3 linked regions of the Caenorhabditis elegans genome follow. The protein of the gene in region 1 purifies or fractionates together with the protein of each later gene. This does not show direct contact. Each region holds a gene or a part of one and is shown in the gene's direction. Other genes may lie near its edges.

The links. Proteins that work in one complex are often made in the same cells at the same time.
Region 2: the proteins of C13F10.7 (region 1) and T10D4.11 fractionate together in Caenorhabditis elegans (co-fractionation; one large-scale study listed by BioGRID). This does not show direct contact.
Region 3: the proteins of C13F10.7 (region 1) and atf-6 fractionate together in Caenorhabditis elegans (co-fractionation; one large-scale study listed by BioGRID). This does not show direct contact.

What each region holds. Positions count from the first base shown.
Region 1 is NC_003283.11:7,220,025-7,226,740, reverse strand, and holds C13F10.7 (CCHC-type domain-containing protein), read left to right. Parts: upstream 1-3,488; coding exon 3,489-3,603; intron 3,604-3,802; coding exon 3,803-3,874; intron 3,875-3,923; coding exon 3,924-4,405; 3' UTR 4,406-4,683; downstream 4,684-6,716. Other genes in the region: gei-6 (GEX Interacting protein), read left to right, coding at 1-204; fkb-3 (peptidylprolyl isomerase), read right to left, coding at 512-940, 1,016-1,372; C13F10.1 (50S ribosomal protein L6), read right to left, coding at 1,800-1,811, 1,860-2,003, 2,373-2,663; kxd-1 (KxDL domain-containing protein), read right to left, coding at 4,684-4,727, 4,777-4,979, 5,029-5,111, 5,170-5,262; C13F10.6 (FTH domain-containing protein), read left to right, coding at 5,762-5,896, 5,951-6,089, 6,140-6,716.
Region 2 is NC_003280.10:3,146,634-3,153,298, reverse strand, and holds T10D4.11 (CW domain-containing protein), read left to right. Parts: upstream 1-3,677; coding exon 3,678-3,792; intron 3,793-3,838; coding exon 3,839-3,978; intron 3,979-4,025; coding exon 4,026-4,261; intron 4,262-4,307; coding exon 4,308-4,351; intron 4,352-4,399; coding exon 4,400-4,542; intron 4,543-4,588; coding exon 4,589-4,791; intron 4,792-4,851; coding exon 4,852-4,867; downstream 4,868-6,665. Other genes in the region: sri-32 (Serpentine Receptor, class I), read left to right, coding at 49-148, 198-240, 288-323; T10D4.19 (T20D4.11-like domain-containing protein), read right to left, coding at 724-780, 830-1,186, 1,232-1,381; T10D4.14 (G_PROTEIN_RECEP_F1_2 domain-containing protein), read left to right, coding at 1,584-1,673, 1,723-1,801, 1,846-1,963, 2,021-2,078; T10D4.1 (DUF19 domain-containing protein), read right to left, coding at 2,610-2,807, 2,855-2,994, 3,051-3,159; T10D4.15 (CW domain-containing protein), read right to left, coding at 6,534-6,665.
Region 3 is NC_003284.9:12,477,408-12,486,702, forward strand, and holds atf-6 (Transcription factor atf-6 homolog), read left to right. Parts: upstream 1-3,540; coding exon 3,541-3,633; intron 3,634-3,689; coding exon 3,690-3,881; intron 3,882-4,173; coding exon 4,174-4,449; intron 4,450-4,497; coding exon 4,498-4,668; intron 4,669-4,718; coding exon 4,719-4,895; intron 4,896-4,943; coding exon 4,944-5,183; intron 5,184-5,229; coding exon 5,230-5,315; intron 5,316-5,364; coding exon 5,365-5,595; intron 5,596-5,827; coding exon 5,828-6,044; intron 6,045-6,778; coding exon 6,779-6,865; 3' UTR 6,866-7,497; downstream 7,498-9,295. Other genes in the region: F45E6.1 (Serpentine Receptor, class Z), read right to left, coding at 1-34; tbc-13 (TBC1 domain family member 13), read left to right, coding at 7,647-7,940. UniProt on the Caenorhabditis elegans protein: Transcription factor. Plays a role in the unfolded protein response (UPR), perhaps mainly during constitutive endoplasmic reticulum (ER) stress, by activating transcription of genes involved in the UPR.

The sequences.
Region 1 (6,716 bases):
ATGCCTCCGCGTCCTATGCCACCTCAACAATCTCCGTTCTTTAATAATGCTCCTGGAAACGGCTTCTATCCACCACAACCACGTGATTTTTCCCCGCCGCAACCTCCACAACAATCTCGAATGTTCCCACCGTCTCAGCCACCATTTGGATACGCTGGGCCTCCGAATCAAGGACGAGGAAACCCACGTTCATTTTACGGCTAAAATGCTCTTTCAGGACTCACCTTGTTCAATTCCTCTAATCGATCGCAAAGATCTCATCTAGTACTATTTTATAAGTAGTGTGTTTTAATTTTATAAATACCTGATGTATAGTTTTTGCTTTTTATACAATTCCTTTTTTCGTAATGAACTGTTTTAAAATTACTTATTCTTTTTAGATATTTTATATTCATTTCTTGTGTTCAGTGGATCACAATTGTGTACTTTTTCTTTTATTCATTTTAATACAAATTTATTGTTCTATTAAAAATAAGTTAGAAATTCATGAAAGTTGGGATTTTCAGTTAATCTAGAGTTCCTCTTTTCCTGGTCTGACAAGTTTCTCAAGTGAGAGATCGAAGTGAAGGTACGAGTTTCCTGGAATTGCTGGAGGTCTTCCATTTTCTCCATAAGCGAGCTCTGGTGGAATAACAACTTTTCTCTTCTCTCCCTGACACATTCCTTCCATGGCAATGTCCATTCCCTTGATAACTTGTCCGGAGCCCATTTTGAAGATAAATGGACGATTGCGGCTCCAGCTCGAATCGATGAAAGATCCATCCTCGAGATTTAGTGTGTACTGTTGATGAAGTGTATCTCCGGCTTGAGCCTTTTCGGTGCATCCCTCTACCTCGTGAGTAATGTGAATGTGAACTCCTTCATCAGTGATCCACTTGGCTCCGGGTTTTGGACGGAAGATTGATTTCAGCTCGACGAAGTAGTATAGAGTTTCTCCTTTCTAGAATAGTACAAATTACCATTTTATTTGTTTTGCAATTTAAAAATAGATTTTAAAAAATATAAATCAACTTACTCCTTCTACTTCATCTCCATCTTCGTCGAATCCTTGCTCTGGTGGAATGATCACTTTTCGCTGTTCGCCGACACACATTCCCTCCATTGCAATTTCCATTCCATGAATCACCTCGCCTTTTCCAAGAGTGAAAGTGTACGGCTTTTGGCCAAAGTTGCTTCCAATCACCTTACCTTCCTTGTCGGAAAGCTTGTAAAATTGCTCCAATTGATCTCCAGACTCGGATTTGATTTTGCATTTTGAGTCTCCAATTTTCTTGATAATTTCAATCTTGACACCTTCATCAGTGGTCCATGAACGGTCATTTGCTGCCCAACAGATGGCAAATAATGCTGAGGCAATAATTGATTTCAGCATTTTTGTGCTGGTTCGGTTTAGTCACTGAAATGGTTACTTAATTGTTGTAAATAGGCGGAATAAGTTACAAGAAAAGAAAAATCAAAACTTTTGAATTCAAAAGCACTACACGTGGAAGGAAAAGAAGGAAGCAACGACCGTCTTGCAAGTGTCTCCTTCCACTCATCTAGTTTATTCCGTTCTCGGTGGCTACCGCCACATCTCCTCTTCAGGTTTTGTTGCCGCGCAGTCCGAAGCCTGAGAGACGCAGATGAGAGACCTTCACCTTTTTATCTGCGCATTGGATCGGTTGTTTTATCAGAGAGATACTTGTTTTTTATTCACCACAAATCAATAAGTTATAGGTAACACAATTGGGAACGATTTAATGACGTGGCAAGATTATGGAAAGAGTGCGGTTTTTTTTTGGTTGGCATAAGTATTGAGATTATCGGGATCTCTGAAAATTAAAACTAGTTAGGTTTTTTGGGAAAATGAAATTTCTCACTTTGGAATTCAAATTGACTCGTTCTGTAAAACTTGTGTAGATGAGATTTCCAACTACCAAAAGTATCAATGATAACGATATGAAAATAACAAATCCGGCGGAGACACGGATCATAAGAGCAGCATAGTCGTATGGTTTCTCGATCTGAAAATCGGAAACTTTTTTTCCTAGTTGAACAATGCCTCTTTTTTGAGAAGGTAATTTTCAAATATTATATAACCAACAAAATTAACACTGTGGTTACGGTAGTATTTACAAAGTTACTGTAGACGTCGCAACGAGATATTCATTGTGCCAAATATGCTGCACAGTTCGTATAATTTCTGGCGGTTGCGTAATATATCGCAATTTTTAATCTCCTAAACTTCTCACTTGAAGGTACACGAATTCATTCATATAGGTCTCACCGCGAGGAAAATAGATCGTATTTTTTTATAATGAATATTAAAGATTTATTTATAACTCATAAATAAGAGAAAACTAGATTATTTCTTCAAATATAATAGGACTCACCTGCATTTTGGACAGATTTACTTTTGGAAAAAGATGGCGTGCTCTGTAACGACCCACTAATCGTGGAGAAAGTAAAGTGAATTTCGAAACGACGCGACGAGAGAACGTATCATGAGCGAGAAGCCGGGCAGTGTGCTTGAGAAGAGTTTGTCGAGAGCATCTTGTGCCCAGACCCAGCGCGGGAGAAAGAAAAGAGAAAGCGGTGGGAGAGGTTTTGTATTGATTTGCGGACATATAACAGATGGGGGTGGAGCTCTTGGAGTCATTTGTCAAGCTAACTTCGATCATCATTCGTCAAATTAATTTATTGGAACACAATATAATGAATGAAAGGAAAGAGTGAATTGGAAGCGTGTCGATTTACGGAGCTCGTGTACTCCCCGAGGAAAACAGTGAATTTTTGTTTTTCAAAAAAATATATAGTTCTTTGTGAAACGATTTTCGCGAATTCTTTTGTCAGTTAATTTTGAAATCGCTAATTTGTTCAATATTTTTATAGTATTCCAAATAAAATTCGCATTATTTACTGTTGTAAATCTACGAATTCTCGTTTTCTGTGGTTTTGAGTAGTAAATTAATAGATTATCCTCGAAAAAACTCGACGAAAATACACAAAATATGAGATATTATTGACGATTTAATAATCCAGAAATTTGAAAACTTGCAGGGTTATAAACCAGGAGTGCTTTTCGAACATTTTCGAGAAGTTTGCATAAATTTGCATCAGATAATACCTTTTTTCTAATTAAAAATATTTTATTCAAAATTTCAAACAACACCGTGCTAATGTGCTCTAGTGGAAAAAATCGTATTAATTTCGAAACTTTTCATATTTCTTTCTCACTTCTTCCATTGCTGCTTTTCACTTTTCTTGATAGTTCTCTTTTTTTTTGTTGAAAAAAATCTTATTTTTAAATCTTTTCAGCATGTTTTCCAATTCTTCTATGTTCTCTGATTAAAAAGCGCCGAAAAATCGATAATTTTTCTATAAAACCCATCTTCCCTTGAGAACAGTTCTTCCCCTCTAAAACGCGCATAAAACCAGCGTCTTTTACCACCTCTTCACGTTATTTTTTGCTTATTTTTAGTACTCCCTAATATTCACTACAATTACAGATGGCGAACGCTAACCTGACTCCGATGCCGTTTGTGCGAAAATTCGGATCTACCAGTACAACTGTAACTACCACAACTGACACAGATAGCCCATTATCAAAAGATGATGAGTCAGGTAAGTAATCTTAAATTTTCAAAAATTAAATTACTATGGATTTATTCGCAAAAAAAATGTTTCCGAACAAAAAACAATTTAGGGGACGAAAAAAGCGAAAAAAAACTTTTTTGAAAACGACTCCAAAAAAGAAACTTGGTTTTTTGGAAAAAAAGTATTTATAAATTTTTCAAAAAAAAAACTCAAAATCTACTTTCAGGTAAAAAACCTTCACTTGCTTCCCTAGCACAGTCAGCGTTCCCATCAAGATACGACCCGAACGCCTTTGTAGGTACGGTAGTTCATAGGAAATTAAAATCACATAATTTGTTTAATTTCAGATATATCAGGTGCCGCAATATCTGCCCCCGCAGTCACGGGAGCATGCAAAAGATGTGGATATCCGGGTCATCTATACTTCCAGTGTCGAAATCACATTGAAGTACGTCCAAATGTATCGACAAAAGCGTACGAGGTCAGTTCGACATCATCTGAATCAAGTGACGACGAGACTCCGCTCATTGCTTTGGAAAAGCAGCGGAAAAAGGAGAAAAAGCTGAAAAAGAAGGCGAAAAAAGAAAAGAAGAAGGCGAAGAAACTCGAGAAAAAGGAGAGAAAGAAGGAACGGAAAGAGAAGAGAAGGCGACGAGATGATTCTGATGATAGTAGTGATTCTGATGAGGAAGAGGATAGAAAAAGGAAGAAGAGCAAGGAAAGTAAAAAGGAAAAAAGAAAACGCCGTCATTCTTCCTCAGATGATAGATCAGCTTCTTCCGATTCTGATGATGACTGTCGTGACTCGAAACGTCACCGTAGATCATAATCGTGTAATATTGATATTTTAACTCTAAATTTTTATTCCGACAGTAACCACCTCCACATTAATATTTTCTCTATTCAAATTTCTATTGTTTCTCTTGTGTCAAAAAGTCCCCATAGTGAAGTTACTAATTAAATTAAAAACAAAAAATTTTATAACTTATTTCGACTTCACTTTAATCAAAAATTTGAGATCTTTATTGAATTTCTGTGACTTGTATTTGTTCCAAATGATCTGTTATTTTTTTTCTTCTTGTTTTTCAATTACGAATAAATTGTATTTCATTCGTCTTCCTCGCTTCGTTTTGGCGTTAGCTCGGCTGACACTGAAATTTGATGAACTTTTTAAAAGTATTCAAATTAAAATATCTGCACCTTCAGCATAAACTTCTGGATACTTTGACGACAAAACTGTTTTGAACATGCGAATTTTTTTGAAAATAAATTCCAAATCAGTTTTCATCTGCAGAATTGTCTCTTTGTGTCCCACAGAATCCCTTTTTGCTTTTTCAATTCTTCGATCGCCGAGTTGAGCGCAATTCATGAGCATTTCATTTGTCTTTTCGAAGCGTTTCAAGCTGAAAAAAAAAGAAAAATCAATAAATTCTAAATTCTCCAGTATATTACCTCTGTCTCTGAGTATCAATTATGCTTTGAATTGTGAATTCGTCGATTTGAGAAGTGAGCGAATCGATGAGATGTGGTGTTTCCTGCATATTATTAAATATTTTTATTCCTTTTTCCCATTATTATTATTAGAAAGCTTACGGGCATGTCAAATGAAGAGCCAGCGTTGCTTCTTGATGGGAAAAACGGGTTGCCAGGTAGTCGTTCTTGTTGTTGGTGATTTTTCTCAGCCATTTATAACTGAAACAAAAAATTATTAATAAATGTTTTATTCTAGACACAACAAGACATAAAACATGAATAACGGCTGAAGCAGGGATTGAGAAAAACAAGAAAAAAGCATGAGAAAATGGAAGAAAAGAGCCGCGCGCTGTGAGTGTGCAACTCGAAAATGTCAAAGCAAATTTATCGATTTACGCACGCGCGCACTTGCTGACACGCATCTGGACGGCGTTCCGTTTCATTTGAAAATAGTTAAAATTAAGCTAATTGTTGATTTATTTATTGAATATCAATTATAAATCTTTTCACGAGAATCCATTAGTGACCACCACCACGCTCCGCTAGTCTCCCCGCACCTTTATCGATTCGATTCGGTCAACCGAATGTTTGTTCAAGCTGTTGCGCATAGATTTGTGTTCTTGTTCCGCTCATATCACATATATTTTTGCAGTTTTTGATGCCAAATGGTGAGGAAACGAAGACGTTACTATACTGGAATGACATGCTAATGATGAAGATTATCGAATTTGTTGAGAGGTTCAAAGATCGAAATTCACTGGAGCTTTCGAGTCGAAGATTGAGAGAATTGTGCTTGAAAACTCCGATTTCTGGAAATTTTGCGATTCGATTGGAAGAAGATCCTAATGTGAGATTGCTTATAATTATTTTAAACCTGTATTATAATTATGTTTTATTTCAGTGGCCATCAATTCTCACTCTTCTCATGCGACCTCGTAATTTCTCGTCCCGTCTTTCAGTTCGAAACTGTTCAGATGTTCCTGAAGATGAACGTAGCGAAATAGTAGGCTATAATTACAAGGATACTATTCAAAATCCAGGTAATTACTGCAAAAACGATAATTTTCAGGAATTTATTATTAAATTTAAGATGTTTTCTTCAACGGAGTCAGCAAGCGACTTCTCAATCGGATAGTGGAGTTTGAAATTAGATGCCGTCGATTTACTGTACAAATTCTGGACAATATAGAAAAGTTTCCCAAATTAAACAGAATCATTGTGAGAAATGCACGAAACTTTTCGTTTGAATTGGATGAGGAATCAGGCGACGCCGCCGTTTTGGATCGAATCGAATCATTGGAACTTCATCTCGATCGACAATGGTGTACGGAAATTGAACGAATGAAACGACTAATAAATCCAAATTTGAAACATTTCTGCTGCCACGTCAATCCGAGCCTATCTAAAAACTCGTGGTTCATTGAAGAAATTATGGTCGAGATGGCATTGCATGAAGTTCAACTGGAAACGTGTCAGCTGGTTTTTCCTGATCCACAAATGCCGCGAAATCTTATTATTGCTTTGACTCAATTCATGTCGGATAGATCACGAGTTTTACAAGTATTCATCACAAATGGACCATATAATCTTTCACCGACAAGAAAAATGATTCCAACTTTGAATATTCAATTTCGAGACGAAGAGGATAATACTGTCAAGGATCTAGC
Region 2 (6,665 bases), on another chromosome or scaffold:
ACATGGCCTCTGTTTGATAGCTTCTAAAAAATAAAATACTAACTACAGCAATCGCCCAATTCTGCCTAGCAATCTGTGCACTTCATTCAATAGTCAACGCTGGCGTTCTGATCCTATCCACCTCTCAGTACAGGAATTTCCTAGCAAGGTAAGTAGAATAGAGTTCAAATTAAGATAGTATTGCCCAATTAATTTAGGAAACTACCGCAACCAAAATTCTTCAAATCATCTTCGATTCATGTAAGTTAGGTGTATTAGGCAGTTCATAATTTTTTTGATTATTTCAGCCTCACGGCCGAGTTCAGCTGATTGCGACGATGTAGTGGAGGAGCTTATTAATTGTTAATAAAGTATTTGTTGAATGATGTTTACGAATACCTGCAGCTTCCTAGGAAAACAGCTGCGGTTTCATAGCCTGTCGCCTACCTACGTGCCTACGTGCCTACTTGCCTACTTGCCTACGTGCCTACGCGCCTACTTGCCTACTTGCCTACGTGCCTACGTGCCTACGTGCCTATATGCCTACGTGCCTACGTGCCTATATGCCTACGTGCCTACTTGCCTACGTGCCTTTTGGATTTACCACTAGAAATTTTAAAATTGAGCTAGATTCTTCTAGTTTTTTGTGTTTTGCTTCAAATTTTGCAGAAATTTCGAATTTGAGTTTTGTCTTGTAAGGATACGTTGTATAATATGTATAAAAATTTATTGAAAATTACACATCTACTGAAGCCTGTAAGATACGCAGTTTCTGATCTCCGGCGTGCGACGAGCGACGTACTGAAACAAATTTTTTATACTTCTCGAGCAACTTTTCGATAAAACCCACTTTTCGAACCATTCTCCAGTCGGCTTCTCCACAAGTCTCGGTGATCTCCTTCTTCATACACGCTGCACTTCCGAAGAACGCACCGCATACATCACCTCCTGATCTTTGCATGAATGGATCCCAGCTGACAAGGCATTCCGATCTCACTTTGTTGGCGAGCAGCTTCACGAGACACTCCTTGAAGTCAAACTCGTTGATTTCCACTCCTGGACAAACGCTGGTCTTAACACCACCTTGGTATTCAATCTCGCATTCACCATTCCGTTGGCAGAACATGTACTCATCGCACTGCTTCAGGTAGTAGTTACAACGAGTCGAGGATGTGTCCTGATGACACTGATGATAACGACTCATTCCCTGAAAAAATTTAAATTAATAATAAAAAGGTGATGTAAAACTTACTTTGCTGCAGTTTTTCCCGGTGCTGTACAATCTGAAAAATTTGTCACGGACGGAGCAATCGTGGACATTGTCAATGTCATCGTCAGAAGCCAATGGTGCTCCGAGAATGGCTCCGATAAGGATTGCGGAGAAAATAATGAACTTGATCATTATCTGAAAAAAAAACGTAAATTGGATAAAATTGAGTAGGACTGCCTAAGGGGAGGGGGCTCAGGGTCAACCAAAAAATAAATAGGTCAAGGATAAATAGGATAAATAGGATAAATAGGTAAAGGTCAAGTAAATGTTCTTTGTGTTTACAGTGTTTGGGACCTTTAAGACAACAGTTGTCATATCATTTCTAGTTTTTCGAATGTATAATGCGTTAACTGCGGTTCAAAGTCAATTGTCCAAGAGTGCCATGAGTAGGCATAAGATTGCTCTGAGAAGCCTGATAATGCAGGTACAGTGCTAAAAAGTAATAAAGCTCAAATTCCAATTCAAATTTCCAGTTCATGACTACCCCTGTCTCGTTTATCCCAGCATTCATGCTATTCGTCGTGACAAACTTTCCAACCAGATACTCACAAGGTTCGTCTCTCCACTGCATTTCGGGAAGAAATATGCATTTTTAGAGATTTCCCGGTACTCAATGATGATAGCAACTACACACTCCACGTTGAACTCATTGGTAGTCATCACAACGTATCCAGAGTTTAGAAAGATCTTCTGGAAACGGAATAATGTTATACAGTGAGTTAAATTTAGAGTTTGTGTTTTGGGACTCGTTTGCTAAAAAAATCTTTACAGAAGCTCTTTTCTGATATCATCCACGAGGCCGTCTGGTTCGAATCGGAACATTGTCTAACTTTTGCATCGGCACATCGGCATATGCCGACCTTTTTTTCGGCACTGTTCGGAATATTCACCAAAATTAATTTTTTAAACTCATAAATGCAAAGAAACTTCAAAAATTGATTAATATGTACGGAATTTATCATGTTAATTTCAATTTTACTAACTTCAATGGTAAAAGAATTTGATTTGTTTAAGAAGCTATTTAGTTTCTTTTCTAATGTGCCGAAGTGACGAGTGCCGATCGGCACAATGTGCCGACTTTTTTTTTTGAAAACGAAAGCACCAAAGTCATACAGCACAGGGCTGCCTTCTGTATCTGTGTATGAAACGGTATAAGGTCCGTCGATGGTGCACTGAATAAATTTTCCACCGCTTTTGGATTTATATACTTTGTTATCAAACTTAACAGTGTGTTAGTCAAGCTGAAATCATTTATTATTTTTAAAGCATTTCAATTAGTTTATTCCAGGTTTGAGCTCACTCAAGATGGACACTCATCGCTGGAATATTGTTAAATTAATCATGTTTTCACCTTTACCACTTACCACAATACAAAAAAGACCTTGGATTTCAGCCCATTAACAGTGTCCTCTTCGACCAGGCTGTTTGAAAAGTCCGATCCTCTATAGACAGCTCCTCTTGGATATTTTGTGATGTACCATTCATTATTTTCACAGATCACGCCGCATTGTGTAAAGATGTCAAATGGGCCGGCAGTACCAAGAACAGCTTGAACAGTCTGAACCAGGAATCTAGAAATTTTTACTGAAAGCATGGAAGACTCACTCCAAGGCCCGTAACGTCATCATCTGGCTTAGGAATTTCGGATTCTCTCCAACGAAAGGCAATTGTAGTATGAGTACCTGGCACGCACGTCGCATTCCGATTGCATCCAGCATTTTCCGTGTAAAATATGTGTTCTTCATCTATGTAGAAAAACGATTTGGTGGAGGAAAAGGTAGTAGGTAGTGCAAAAACTTACTTGTTATTAGATCAAGAAAGCTTGGACACTCACAATCGTCTTCGCATCCATATTCGTCTTCGCAGGCAACATAGCAAATGAGAAGTAGGAAAATGAGATATTGCTTCATTTCGACCATAGACAGTATAGTTTTGAGTGGCTTTTATACGGTTAGCTGATCAATAATCTTGTTAAGTGTTACTTTCCAAATGCAAATTAGAGTATTTAACCAAACATCAATGCTTGACTACTTCCGGCTTTGCGGAAATTTAAAGTTATAATTCAAGAATATACATAGACCATAATTTGAAAAGTTTAAAACTTTTTCCCATGGAAAGCAACACACCCAAGATTGGCTTACAAAAGTTTCATTAGTGATGAAAAGCGTGATAACTAAAGGGTAGGTAGGCGAATCCTTCTACCTACCTTTCTTGGTATAAGTTGGTCTGATGTCGACAAAATCTTTTTATCCGGCTCTATCTTAAAATGGCAACTGACCGAACATCTTTTGTGTTAATTAATCAAAATGTCTACAGTATTGATCTCTGGTGCTCCAACATCCTAGCTATTAACATATTAACAGATCAATTTACGAACCAACTCGGTGAATAAAAGGACAGACGTTTAGAGAATTGTTCACATGACAACATGAAAATCAAAATTTTTGCTTTTCTGGTCATATTTTTTTCGTGTTTCTGCATGGAACGTCTAGCATGTCAGAACCAGAGTTGCCCGTGCTCCAATCTCTATGACAACCTGAACGGTAAGCCAGCTGCTCTGACAGTTTAGTCGTAACTAGATGTATTCAGATGCAGAAAACACGGTATACTACGAGGGGCTAGGTTGCTCCAGAACCGTATACTGCACGGTCGGCTATTGGACGTGGCTAACTTTGTCCTGGGAGTTGTCCGACATACCCACTCCAAGTGACATTTACGAGGATACATTTGTGAGTTACAAGCACTTTAACACACCCTCAAGATTGATTACGTTTAGTTTGCTTTCACTTGGAATCATACAGACCCTATGGGGGTTTATGCCGGGGGTCCTATCACTGACCTGGTCTCTCTGTTGGGAATGCAGTGTGACCGCAGTACAAGCCAGTGGATTGTGACAAGATACCCATTTGGGTATTCCTATTTCAATCAAAACGATGAGAAGATTGTTATTGATGGGTACAGCGTGGAAGGCGTCAGATCAATAGTTTCGTCGACGGATTCACGATTTTCTTGGTACCCGTGAAATAATACGATTTAAAAAAATATATACAAGTTTCAGCGCAAATATGTGCAGATGTTCAGACCTGATGAGCTTGGTCGAGGGTATTTAAATTGGTGGGCTAGCTCTCAAGCCAACTTAATTGATTTCAGATTCGTCTGAAAATATTCTGTACACCTTTAATGGAAATCATTGCAGTAGCAATTTCACTTGTAATGCAGACTCCCAAACATTCATCCGATCTAGTTTTGACGGGTCGGAGATTCCTGGTATTGGTAATCGTACGGGTGCAATGGTAAGGGAAACCAGAATGCATCATCAACTTGACTAAACAATCTCAGCTGATTCCCACGATTCCCGAAGAAGATCAGCCAGAACACTCCTCTATAAACATTATGGTCGAACTCGGGATATATTGTCATGAAGGGGAATGGTATGTAACACAATATCCGTATGGAGTTACATACATGGATGATACTGGAACGAAATACATCACCGGAGAGGATTGGGGAGGGAAGAAATCTAAAGTTCTTGGGTTCAGATGGTAAATGATTTTGACTTTAGGTTATTTTGAATTTAACTGATTGTGAGTTTGATTTTTCAGTACAAAGTGGCCTTGAACTTCGTCGATTGTAGCAATAAATAATGTCCATGTAGACTATTGTTAAGATATCAATAAATACAATAGTCCTTCCGCACTAGACGCAGACCACATATGATGTGCAACTAATTTTATTTTGGCTTGTTAGAATGTAAGAATGTTGAAGACTGCAAAACTAATTGAGAAAATTTTGAAACACAACAGTAGTTTCTGGACAGGGCTGCCTTCTGTATCTGAATATGAATAAGGCCGCCTTTGAACCGCCAATAAGCCACTGAATATATTCTCCACCACTTTTGGTTTATATCTTTTGTTATCAATCCTAAAAGTGTGTTAGTCAAGCTGAGATCGTTTATTAATTTAATTTTTAAACGGTTCAAAAATTTGGAAAATGGGGGTTTTATTTCTGAAAGTTCTTGAAATTTGATATTATAGATCTGAGAATAAATTGTAGAAAGTCTTGAGTGGATAACATTTTTTTAACCTTTTTTTTGAGAAGTCGGGGGGGGGGGGCAGTACTAATAGAATACGGTTTAATTCAAAGTACACTGCATTCGTCATTATGTTCTTGAACAGAAAGCACACATAATTCAACAATCGTTTTAACAAAATTTCAGAAATTAAATCTTTCATCAAACAAATCTGTCTACTTTTTGACCACCTGTCAATTTTTACATATTCCGTAATAAAATTATGTTTTAAATTCAGAAAAGCTCAACATTTGCAATAAAATAGCTAGACAGTTCTGAAAGAAGAAGGCGATTATTATAGTACGTATTTCAAAAAAAAAAGGATCTTTCAGAAAATCCACATTAGTTTCGTTCTTGCGTCCCATTGGTCAACCGCGGAATTGAGAGATGATCTTCACTATTTTGTATTGTATTATTTTTTTAATGACGCCACGGGTGCCTGGGTCGTTGTAAGCGTGTAAAATACATGCAAATCTTCAACAAAAAACATTATGTTTTAAACATTTATATTAACGTTTTTGCAACGACATTGAACAATGAGTGTATGATAACCATTTATTACGACAATCGACACAATACACGACTTCTGTCCCTTTCACGGCCATTCTTTGCTGAAATTGGTATTTTATTTGTTAATGACGTAATTTAATTTCAGAGTACCAAGACATTGAGATAAAGGTGGATCTGACGTTGTCAATCTTTTCATTAACGACAATCTTTTTGCCTCTATTGTCGAAATAATAATACCCGAACGGGTATCTGGTAATGTACCAGAAATATGCAAAACATCTGTCATTGACAAGCGACTTCGTATCGCAGGCACATTGTATTCCCAACAGAGATACGAAATCAGGGTTAGTGGGCGGAAGTTGATTATAGAGCGTTCGATTCCACATTGAAGCATACTGAACTTGAAAAAATTAGCGTCTAATGCTTTGCGGAAATGTCAACGTTTGGCATTTTTTGTGACAAATCAAACTAAAAGACCTTTCAAATAATTGATGAATTATTGAAAAAGTATATATTTTTAATTTTTCTATAAAAAATTGGTTACTGTTCCAAAGTTGAGGGAAAAATACGGTAAGTGTTTTGAAAAACTGAAAAACGGAAACTTTTTTGAATAAGAATATCATTCATACTGGGGTGCACGGCAATCGAATTTCAGGCAATTTAGGTAATTTCGACAACTGCCGGAATTCCTGATAGTAGGAAATTCTAAAACCCAAAGTTGCAAAAATTGACGATTGCCGCGCATCGTTGAATCATAATCACGATTAGGCCATCTCTTATGTCACTCGGAAGACTCGGGAGGCCGGACCAACTTGCAACTGTATCCGCAACGGGGTA
Region 3 (9,295 bases), on another chromosome or scaffold:
CATCTTGCTGAGCACTTGAGTTGCTAGAACTCATATCCAAGAGTGATTAAACTACCAAGGGAGTGTAAGAACCACAAATGTTTTGTGATTGTCAAATATCAGATTGCAATTTTGGAGCAAAGACTTGATCAGCCTGTTACGTTTCAAAGCCTTGTTCAAATACATCTACTTATTCTAGATTTCACCTGTCCCGTTTTGTAAGGACATTTGACGTAGTAAGTTAAAAGGTTATTGAAAATTAATGCTAGTGCATAAAAATATCTAATGAACATATTGATAGCAAGGCAATGCAAAAACGCGAAGGTTCTAATTACCGAAATTCAGAAAGGTCCTGAACAATGAAGACAGACATTCTTTCATACATTTTTATTTGCGTTGGTGCAATAGAAATATCAGAACATGCTCTTTGCATTTAATGTTTTCTGTCAAACGGATAAAAATTATTAAAAAAAAAAATCTCGCCAATGCAACATTTTGAAGAGAATCTAAGTGAAACCAAAATAAGAAGTGATAATCGAAACTATGTTTGTTTCTAATGCACAGTCTTAACCAAAAAACACATTTTCATGTAAAAAAAAACTATAATTCGCAAACCGTTTTAAAGTGATATGAAGTTTTGAACTTGGAGTTTTTGAAACATGACGATTTGTTCGAATCAGCATGGAAGGCTTTCAACTAAATTAAAAAGTGATATAAAGAGCAACAAAAATTTTTATTCCACGGCAATGTTAGATTCAATTGATTGTTTAAAACTGCCTTTTTGCCAACCTATCGGTTGCAACTGTTGGATATAAACTTTTTCGAATATTCTAGTATTTTGTCAGCCGTTAAAAAATGCGTTTTAGAAGTTGAAAACCAATACTTGAAACAAAAACTAATGTAACTAAAACTCTGCAAAAGCTTCTAGAAAACTAAAATAACGTTCATTTTTGACATGGAATTGGAATTATAACATATCTAATTAGAGAGCCGTTACCAGAGATATTAGATTTTTTAAAATGCTAAACATATGAGTGCATTTTTTCAATAAAGCTTTAGACCGATTTTGCCGGAAATTGACTTCTACGATAGATACACATATTACTAGTTTAATCTATTATATTCAACAGTTGTTCAAATTTGTTTGCGTCCCCCCGTTTTCCTGCTTTATTTTCTTTCTCGTTTGCACTAACAATATGAATTGTATGCCCTGTTTCATATGTTATAAATACCCTGTTATGATGAATACACTTGCTGATAACAATAAAATTAACAACGTTACTCTTTAAATATTAACAGAGGAGAGGGTATTCGATAACAAGCACTTTATGTTTCAGGTAGTATCAGAATTGTCCTTTCACGTGTTTTCTATAATGATAGGACGGTTTTATGAAAATATTTTTTAAAAGTATAACCAATTGTTTTCCAGTTTAAGTTTAAATTTTGAGCAACATTCATTTTTCAAAATAATTTTTTCACTTAAAATATTTTTTTAATAGTGAAAACGATGAAGATTTTACAAATGTTTTTCCCCTAAAAAAGGGAAGACATTTTTTTCACAGCAACTCGCGTTATATCCTTCAAGTACTTTTTTTTATTTTTTAACATTTTATTGTAGTAGCTTCACCAGTTATATTATTCCATAGCATCATGTTTAATCACTTTTTATGGTTGAAGCTTCTGAATTTGAAAGGTCATCACTAGCTTTCAATTTAATTTTTTTTATTTCACAAAGCATCGCCCACTTTCCACCCCACACAATTTATTTTATGAATCGCTGCTTGGATTGCCCAAAAGCACACACAAGTGCACATTGGTCCTCGTACATAATTCAATGCCATAGTAACACACTTAGCATCCCCCGGCCGTTCTCGACGACGATTAGTGTAGTCCTAGCCAAAAAGTGTTCACTTGCACTTTTATTTTATTCAAATGAAGTGCGGTTCCATTTGGTGCTACTATGCTACACGTCACGTCGTTTTTTTTCCACTCGTTCTTTTTGTGTATACTAATGCAAAGTGTTTGTTTTTCACTGCGGGGTAAATTTAATCAACAGAGGTTCATATTTCTTGTGTATTGTTTATAAGATCATTCTTGTTGATACTTTTACTTTTGGAACAGTTTTGACAAGAAATGTTAGCTTTTATGTACTAACAAATCAAAGTGTGATGTGAAGAAATACCAGAACTTTCAAAGCCACTTGCAAGAGTATACACAATAAAAGTTTTCGTCGTCGATATTATTTGAAAGTGTTCCTTTCTTGGAAAAAAATTTCTCATGATTTGCTTTTTATTGGTTTGGTTTTCTAGAAGACATTGTTTAATATTTGAAGAAAATTGTCGGAAAAAATACTTGGGGTTCACTAAAAAGTTATTTTTCAAAGTATTTAGAGATTTCTTATTAGTGTAGTTGCGCGGTTATCGAATTTTGTATTTGAAAATTAAATTGTATACATACAAACATTGCAATATCGCCTACCTTACTACCGTACTAATTTTCCATCAAATTGTAGGGGTGTAAGATTAATATAAATTGCAAGAATTATTTTTGTGAAACTGATTTGACGCCAACTAAAAATATGAATGTTTTTCCATTAGGAATTTCAATGGCCATTTTAACTTCGAAAATTGACTTTACCCTAAAAACAAAAAAGTTTACAAAACAAATATTCCACAAAGTATTGCTCGCCTGTCAACAAGTCAATGCTAAACTATTAGGAAACCCAATATTTTCTCTAATACAACTACAGTCACAGGACAATCTATTATATTGTAGAATTTTCTCTGCATATTATTGAAATTTAAAACTTAAATTTGGTTTGGTCTTTTTTTCAAACCCAGTGGATGTTCGTCTGTTGAGCTTTAGAAAAGAAGGCAAACAGTATTAGTCAATGACTGATAAAATTATGCACAACCGAAATAAAAACTAAAGACAAGTAGAGAAAATACAGTATATCATTTTTTTTTCTATGAATTTTTGCTTTAATTAGTGGTTTCTTTATTTGGTTTATAAAATAAGATCGTAAAGTAATATAGCCGCTATCCCTTCCCCGTTTATTACCTTACTACTATACTTTTAGTGACCCACTTTCCATTTTTTGTCCGTCTTCCATTTTCGCTTGCCCACTCCTCTTCCTCCGCAACAAAAATTCTGCGACAGAACAAACACTGCGAGAGCGCCACCTCGTCCTCATCTACTGTGGTGGCCTTCTCACTGTCACTGTGCCGGGGACTCTTTTTCTCTGACTCTGCCCCCCCCCCCCTTGCCTCTCCGGTCGTTTGACCGGCGTACTGGCAGTGTGCCAGCCGGGGTCGTGTGCAAACGCGCTCCGTTGATATTTCATTGGATGCTATCCTTAATCGTCTTGCCCTCCTTTTTTCATGGTCACTTCTTTCATCTACCTGATTTTCGTTTCTTGCTATTGAGATATATCTAAGATTTTTTTTTTAATCTTACCAGTTTCTAAAAATGTGATTGAGTTTTAGGATTATTTGTCTTTAGAAACCTATTCTTCTCTTTTTTTTCTCTAACACTGTATTTCAAAAACTTTTTAAATTTCAGATGAACTTTGACAATACGGTTCATGAATCAAACTTTGATGATCTCCTGCATAACCCAAATTTTCCGCCGCAATTTGACCAGCTAGAGTTGGACGTGAGTTTTCTTTCTGTGTCTTGAAAGGACCACTAATACAAAATATCGATTTTCAGAGCCTACTTTACGGGACCGACGAATCACAAGAATCGACCTCTTCCTCTTCGTTTGGTTTCAGTGATCAGAATGCTGGATTTCGCTCAAGAGACGGCGGGAGTTTAGGAGATTCTTCGTCGGATAGCTCTCCACCGTTGAGTTGTGCAAACTTCACAGAAAATGACCAGGAAATGTGGGATTTTGGCTTTCAAGTAAGTTGTTTTTTTTCGCACAAAACTCGTTAAAAATGTTTGTCGAAACGGATCGTTTACACTCTATTGTTTAATGGAAATGTGTTTTATTTTAAACAACCTTACATGCAAGTTGTTGTGTGTATGATGTTTGCTCCTACCATGAAAACTTAGCACGAAGACAAAATTTTCCTACAGAATTACTTTACTTTTAATTTCGGGGTACGGATACTACACAAAATCTTGTTCAAAATTTAATATCAACTACAAAATCCTAATCTATCAATATCATACTTAGTCGTTTGTTTTGCAGAGTCGCAGTCCATTCGAGAATTTTGAGCAACAATTTGGCTCTCCATATCAGGACGACGAAGTGATTGCCGAGCCCACCAATGAATTCATGAACGCAAGATACCTCAGAGAAGAACCGGCCAAGCATTTGCCCATGCAACAAAAACGAATTATCACAATTCTCCCCAAACAGTCACAGCCTGTGAAACGTATTGTCAGCAGACCAATCCAGAAAGTATACCGCGTCAAGGAATCACCCGGCAGTCAGCAACAAACATACCGAGTTGTTCAGCCCTTGGTGAGCGATTGAACGTCAAGTAAAATAGTTTATTCGAATTTTTTTCAGATGCCATCTCCTTCACAAGCTACGCAACGCCAAATCAAGCAAATGTATTACAATGAGCCGGTTCAAGAAATTCATATGCAACCAAAAAGTGGTCCGCTGGTTCGACAAGTGTCCGAAGAGCCAAGATACGTTCCAATTGCTCCGACAGTAGATATCAAAGCAGAACCACAAGTGAGCTTATCTTCAAAACATATTTAAATTCATGACTTTACAATTTCCAGGTTTTTACTTCCGAGCAAAATCGAAAAATTCGGAACCGAATGTACGCCCAAGCCTCTCGCATGCGCAAGAAGGAAGCCGATGAACATATGAAAATGAACCTTCAGGAACTGCTTCAAGAAAACGAGATTCTAAGAACTGAGAATGCCGCTTTGAAGCAACGCCTTGCGTTTTTTGAAGTAGTTCTGAACTCATAAAAATTTTAACATTTTAAAATACATTTTCAGCACGAAGAGCCAGTTGTCGAAGTTCCACAACCCTTTGGAAGAAATCAGAAGAAAAAAAGAATTATTGCTGCTGGTTCAGTACTAATGATGTTCGGACTTTTTGCAGTCATCTCTCCATTTAATGTCGATAACAATTTGAATATAAACAATCAAATCATGGCAATTTCCAACGAAACTTCTATGGTTGCTCGCCACGGAAGAGTCATCACGTATGAAGATAGTGCTCCTGTTGCAAAAATTGTATGTGTACGAGCTTAATATTTAAAAATCTCTTATAAAAGTTTAGCCTACTCAACAACCAATCCACAACTATCCGAACTCCACTCAAAATGATTGTGATATGTACAAACTAAACGCCACAGAGACAATAAGGTGAGGGACTTGAAAATGAACAATTTTTATAACTGACTACTCTTTTCAGAGTAAACAACGACATTGAGCGCTGGGTACAAGTACATTCATTTGATAATGTTCCAATGAAGTTTTCGGGAGGACTATTAAATAAGGAAGCAATGCGAAAGTTCAACTACGCACAGAAAGTAAAACCAGCCTCAGTTTATGGACCACAGACATTGGCGGTTCAAAAGAAATCAGAGCAAGCGGCGCTCAGATCTCGGGAACGTACATGGAAGCAGTTGGATCTACTGAAGACGTAAGTAGACTTTTTCTTTAATTTAAAATTCATAATGACACGAATGGGCACACTACCGACGTAATCGAACTTCGAGTTCATGTTTTACTTTGTTCACTTTGTATTGAGATGACATGACCGTAATTGCAAACGAAGAAGTCGGACCAATTGAAAATTATTCAAATGCATTTGCAATTCCAGCAGCAAACAACAAAACTATTTCAATAACATGTAAATAATAATTAATTTAAAGCGGAAACAATATTCAACTGGATAACGAGAAAATTCAACGTAAACGACAAGATATTGACAAAATCGCTTCAATTGTTCGCCAAAAGGGAGATACACTGTACATTATGACACTTCAAGACTACGTGCTTCTGCCTTCATTGATTAAAGGAGCAAACTCGGTTCCCAAACTATCGTTGCTCCTGCCTAGTGTTCCAATGAATGGAACTCTCCAAGATCAGGTAACTAGGGAGTTCAAAAAAATATGATTAGTAAAAAAAAATATTTTTGTTAAACTGTAGGCATTGATTTCACAACTGTCAAATTTGCCTTCAGTATCAGAAAAAATATATTAATTGCAAAATTCTCATGTCTCTGTAAGTTTCCTGACGTTCAATGCGAGTTATTTTTTACAGTGACTTTAATTTGAGATTTAGAAATGAATTGATCACAGCCATTGGTTGATTGTAGTTTTTTTAAAATCAATTTGAACGTTCAAGTAGTAGGAGCAGTTATATTTGTGTAGATATTATCAAAAATGTCACTAGTGTTACGTTGCATCGTTATTAGAAAGAGAGACTTTGAAATTTTTTTTTTGATTTTTGGATTAACGGTTTCTTTCATTCTATGGATCTATAGAGTATTAACTGTAACTTTATATGTTTAATTTTGAATTGCCAGAATTTTGACAAAAAAAATTACCAAAGTAGAGCTCTAAAACTGTTGAATAATTCCAAGCTTTTACAAGTTGCAGTTAATAAAATAAAATTTATTCAACCAGTTTAAAAATTGATTTTACAACTCTGAGATATCATGTAGGAATATTGCTTGTGCTTGCCTGCGTGAGATTTAACGGATAGGTTTTACTCGGCATGTGTTCAACAGCTGCAATTTTTAAACCAGTTTCGTAATATGTGCAGCTTTTAGCTAGATTCATATGTAGGTTCACTTCAGTTTTATTGAGTTCAATTTTCAGTATACTCTTCTTCGAGTTGATTGTGAAGTGACAGGGACTGGCCAATTGACACTTTCCAACAAGCAACTTTCATATTTGATGCCGTGATACTGATATTGATCAACAACTACGCTTATTATATTCCCACTTTTCTCAATTTCCGTGCCTTTTTTATTCACCCACTTTACCTTTCTTCTTTTGATTCGTTTTTATCAATCTTTTATGTTAAATATTCATTATGCATTTCTGAAATCGCCGGTCACCGATCAACCTCTTTTTGTTGTACCCGTTTTCGCTGCGTCTCTCACTTTACATCAATCATATTCCGGTCTTTTTCGATTGTCTTTATTTCTCTCAAACTCTCTTATCTCAGTCTTATTCCTATTCCAACACATATGTATTGTATATTAATTACCATTCGTTTTCTCATCATTTTACCAGTTTTTCAGAATTTTATCAACCACAAAACTCCATACAAAATATGCCAGTCATTGTCTCACCAAGTTCTAGTTGAAATCACCCAATTCTCATAACATAGTCATTCAGTTACACCACCATTGATGATATTCATCTTTCATGATATGTTTTATTTTGAAAGTCACTTTATTAATCTCGGGGTCTTAATTTATATAGTTTGATGTTCCTTTTTCTATTCAAATTCTAATTATAAGTGCCTAATTATCTGGGATTTTTGCATTTTTCTTGTCAATAATTATCTAAATGAAGGGTTCAAAATATTAGTTTCAAACGAAAAATTGGGTTCTATGTTTACCTGCACTGGTTTTTCTACTAGCTTTGTTATTTTCCGTTTGTTTCTACCTATGTTGTCTTTTCTCCTCCTTTCTTTTTTTTTTAAAACCTTTTTCACCTTCTACCTCTACCTTTCAGAATGACGTCTCGATATATGGAACGTCTTGCAAAAATCGAGGAGGTACTTCTCATTGCAAATAAGAAAATCGATATTAACGAATTGAGAGCCGGGTGTAGCTACGGAGTTCCCGAATCTCTGCGACCGTTGGCATGGCGTTTGCTTCTGCACTATCTCCCATTGGAGCGTCACAAGTGGCAAACATTTTTGGCCGAACAGAGAGATAACTACGATCAGATGATTGAGCAGATAATCGTGGAGCCGGGAACAGCGTCTTTGCAGCAAAGTGCTGCTCAAAATCAGGATAATGATCATGTATGTTTTGTTGTTTCGTTAAAGTTTAAAGAATTCAAGTTAAATAAAAGAAAGAAATAATGTAGACATCCCATAGATTCTTGTATTCAAATATGTTATTCCCCAAAAAGTTGTTTTTAAAGGCAAATACACTTTTGAAATTACATGACAAACAAGATTTCAAAAAAAAACTTCAAATTGAAAGAATTTATACAAAATTTGAGTTTTCAACCTGTCTATAAAAATTACTTGTTTGAATCCTACAATGTCTAGATACAATTTATTAAAATAGACTCAAAACTTGAAAATTATAGACACAGTTTTTCTAAAATTGTAATATGTATGTGAGGACTAAGTGAACTTTTCGACTGTAAACAATGTAATTTTCAAACAATTTTTCCATCAAACTTCATTATTTTGGCAATGTTAAAGTGGTTTCAAAATTTTCTATTAGCACTACTCCACAGTTAAAATTTTATGGATGGTGTGTCAAATCAATCCAGTTAAAACATAACCTTTTTACTCTATCAGTTTGCCGAATGATGTAATATACTTTATTAGCTACGATATAACATTATTTTTTTAAAGCATTGAAATTGACACAAGCAAAACTGAATAACAAGTTTTTAATCCATAAAAAGAGATATGACTTCTAGAAATAAAGATTAATTTTTTGAAAATTGAATTATCTATCACCAACCTATCCGGGACTTTCCACTCAGTAGTTCACAAGTTAGAGATGTTTCATTTTTCTCATTTTGAGGTGCGCTACAGTAATCGCATGGGTTAAGTTCATCTGGTATTTCTTTCTGACCAATTTGCGAAACTATTTGGATTGTTGACTGTTCTGAACTTAGTTTCCAAACTAGTATTTATTATTATATTTATTTTGATTTGAATGTAAAAAAATTGATACTCGAATTAACAACGAAAAACGTTTGCTTTTAAAGTTGTAAGTCCATTTTGTTTAGCCAAGAACCCTTTTTTTTTTCTAAATTTCCATGATCCCGTTTTTTAGAAATTCTTTAGATTCAAAACGATATCAATATTTCGAAAAGGTGCATCCCTCGTTAGTTCAAAAAGAGAAAAAAAAACAAAACTTGTGTTCTGTTTTTTGCGTAGGTGCGACACAAAACTTTATGACTCTAAGATACGTGGGAACTTTCGAATATCAAGTGCGGAAACGTTTTTTCTTCTCAGAACCTTTAATCTACTCCCTCAGTTCGGTTTTCCCAAGCGCTCCGAAAGTGTAGGTGGCGGATAAGAAATTAAACATCACAATTTATACTATTATAGGAACAGCTCAAAATAGAAAGCTTAGTATGCCACCTAAGAGCAAGAACCATATATGAGCTCAAAAAGAAATATGTTGAATA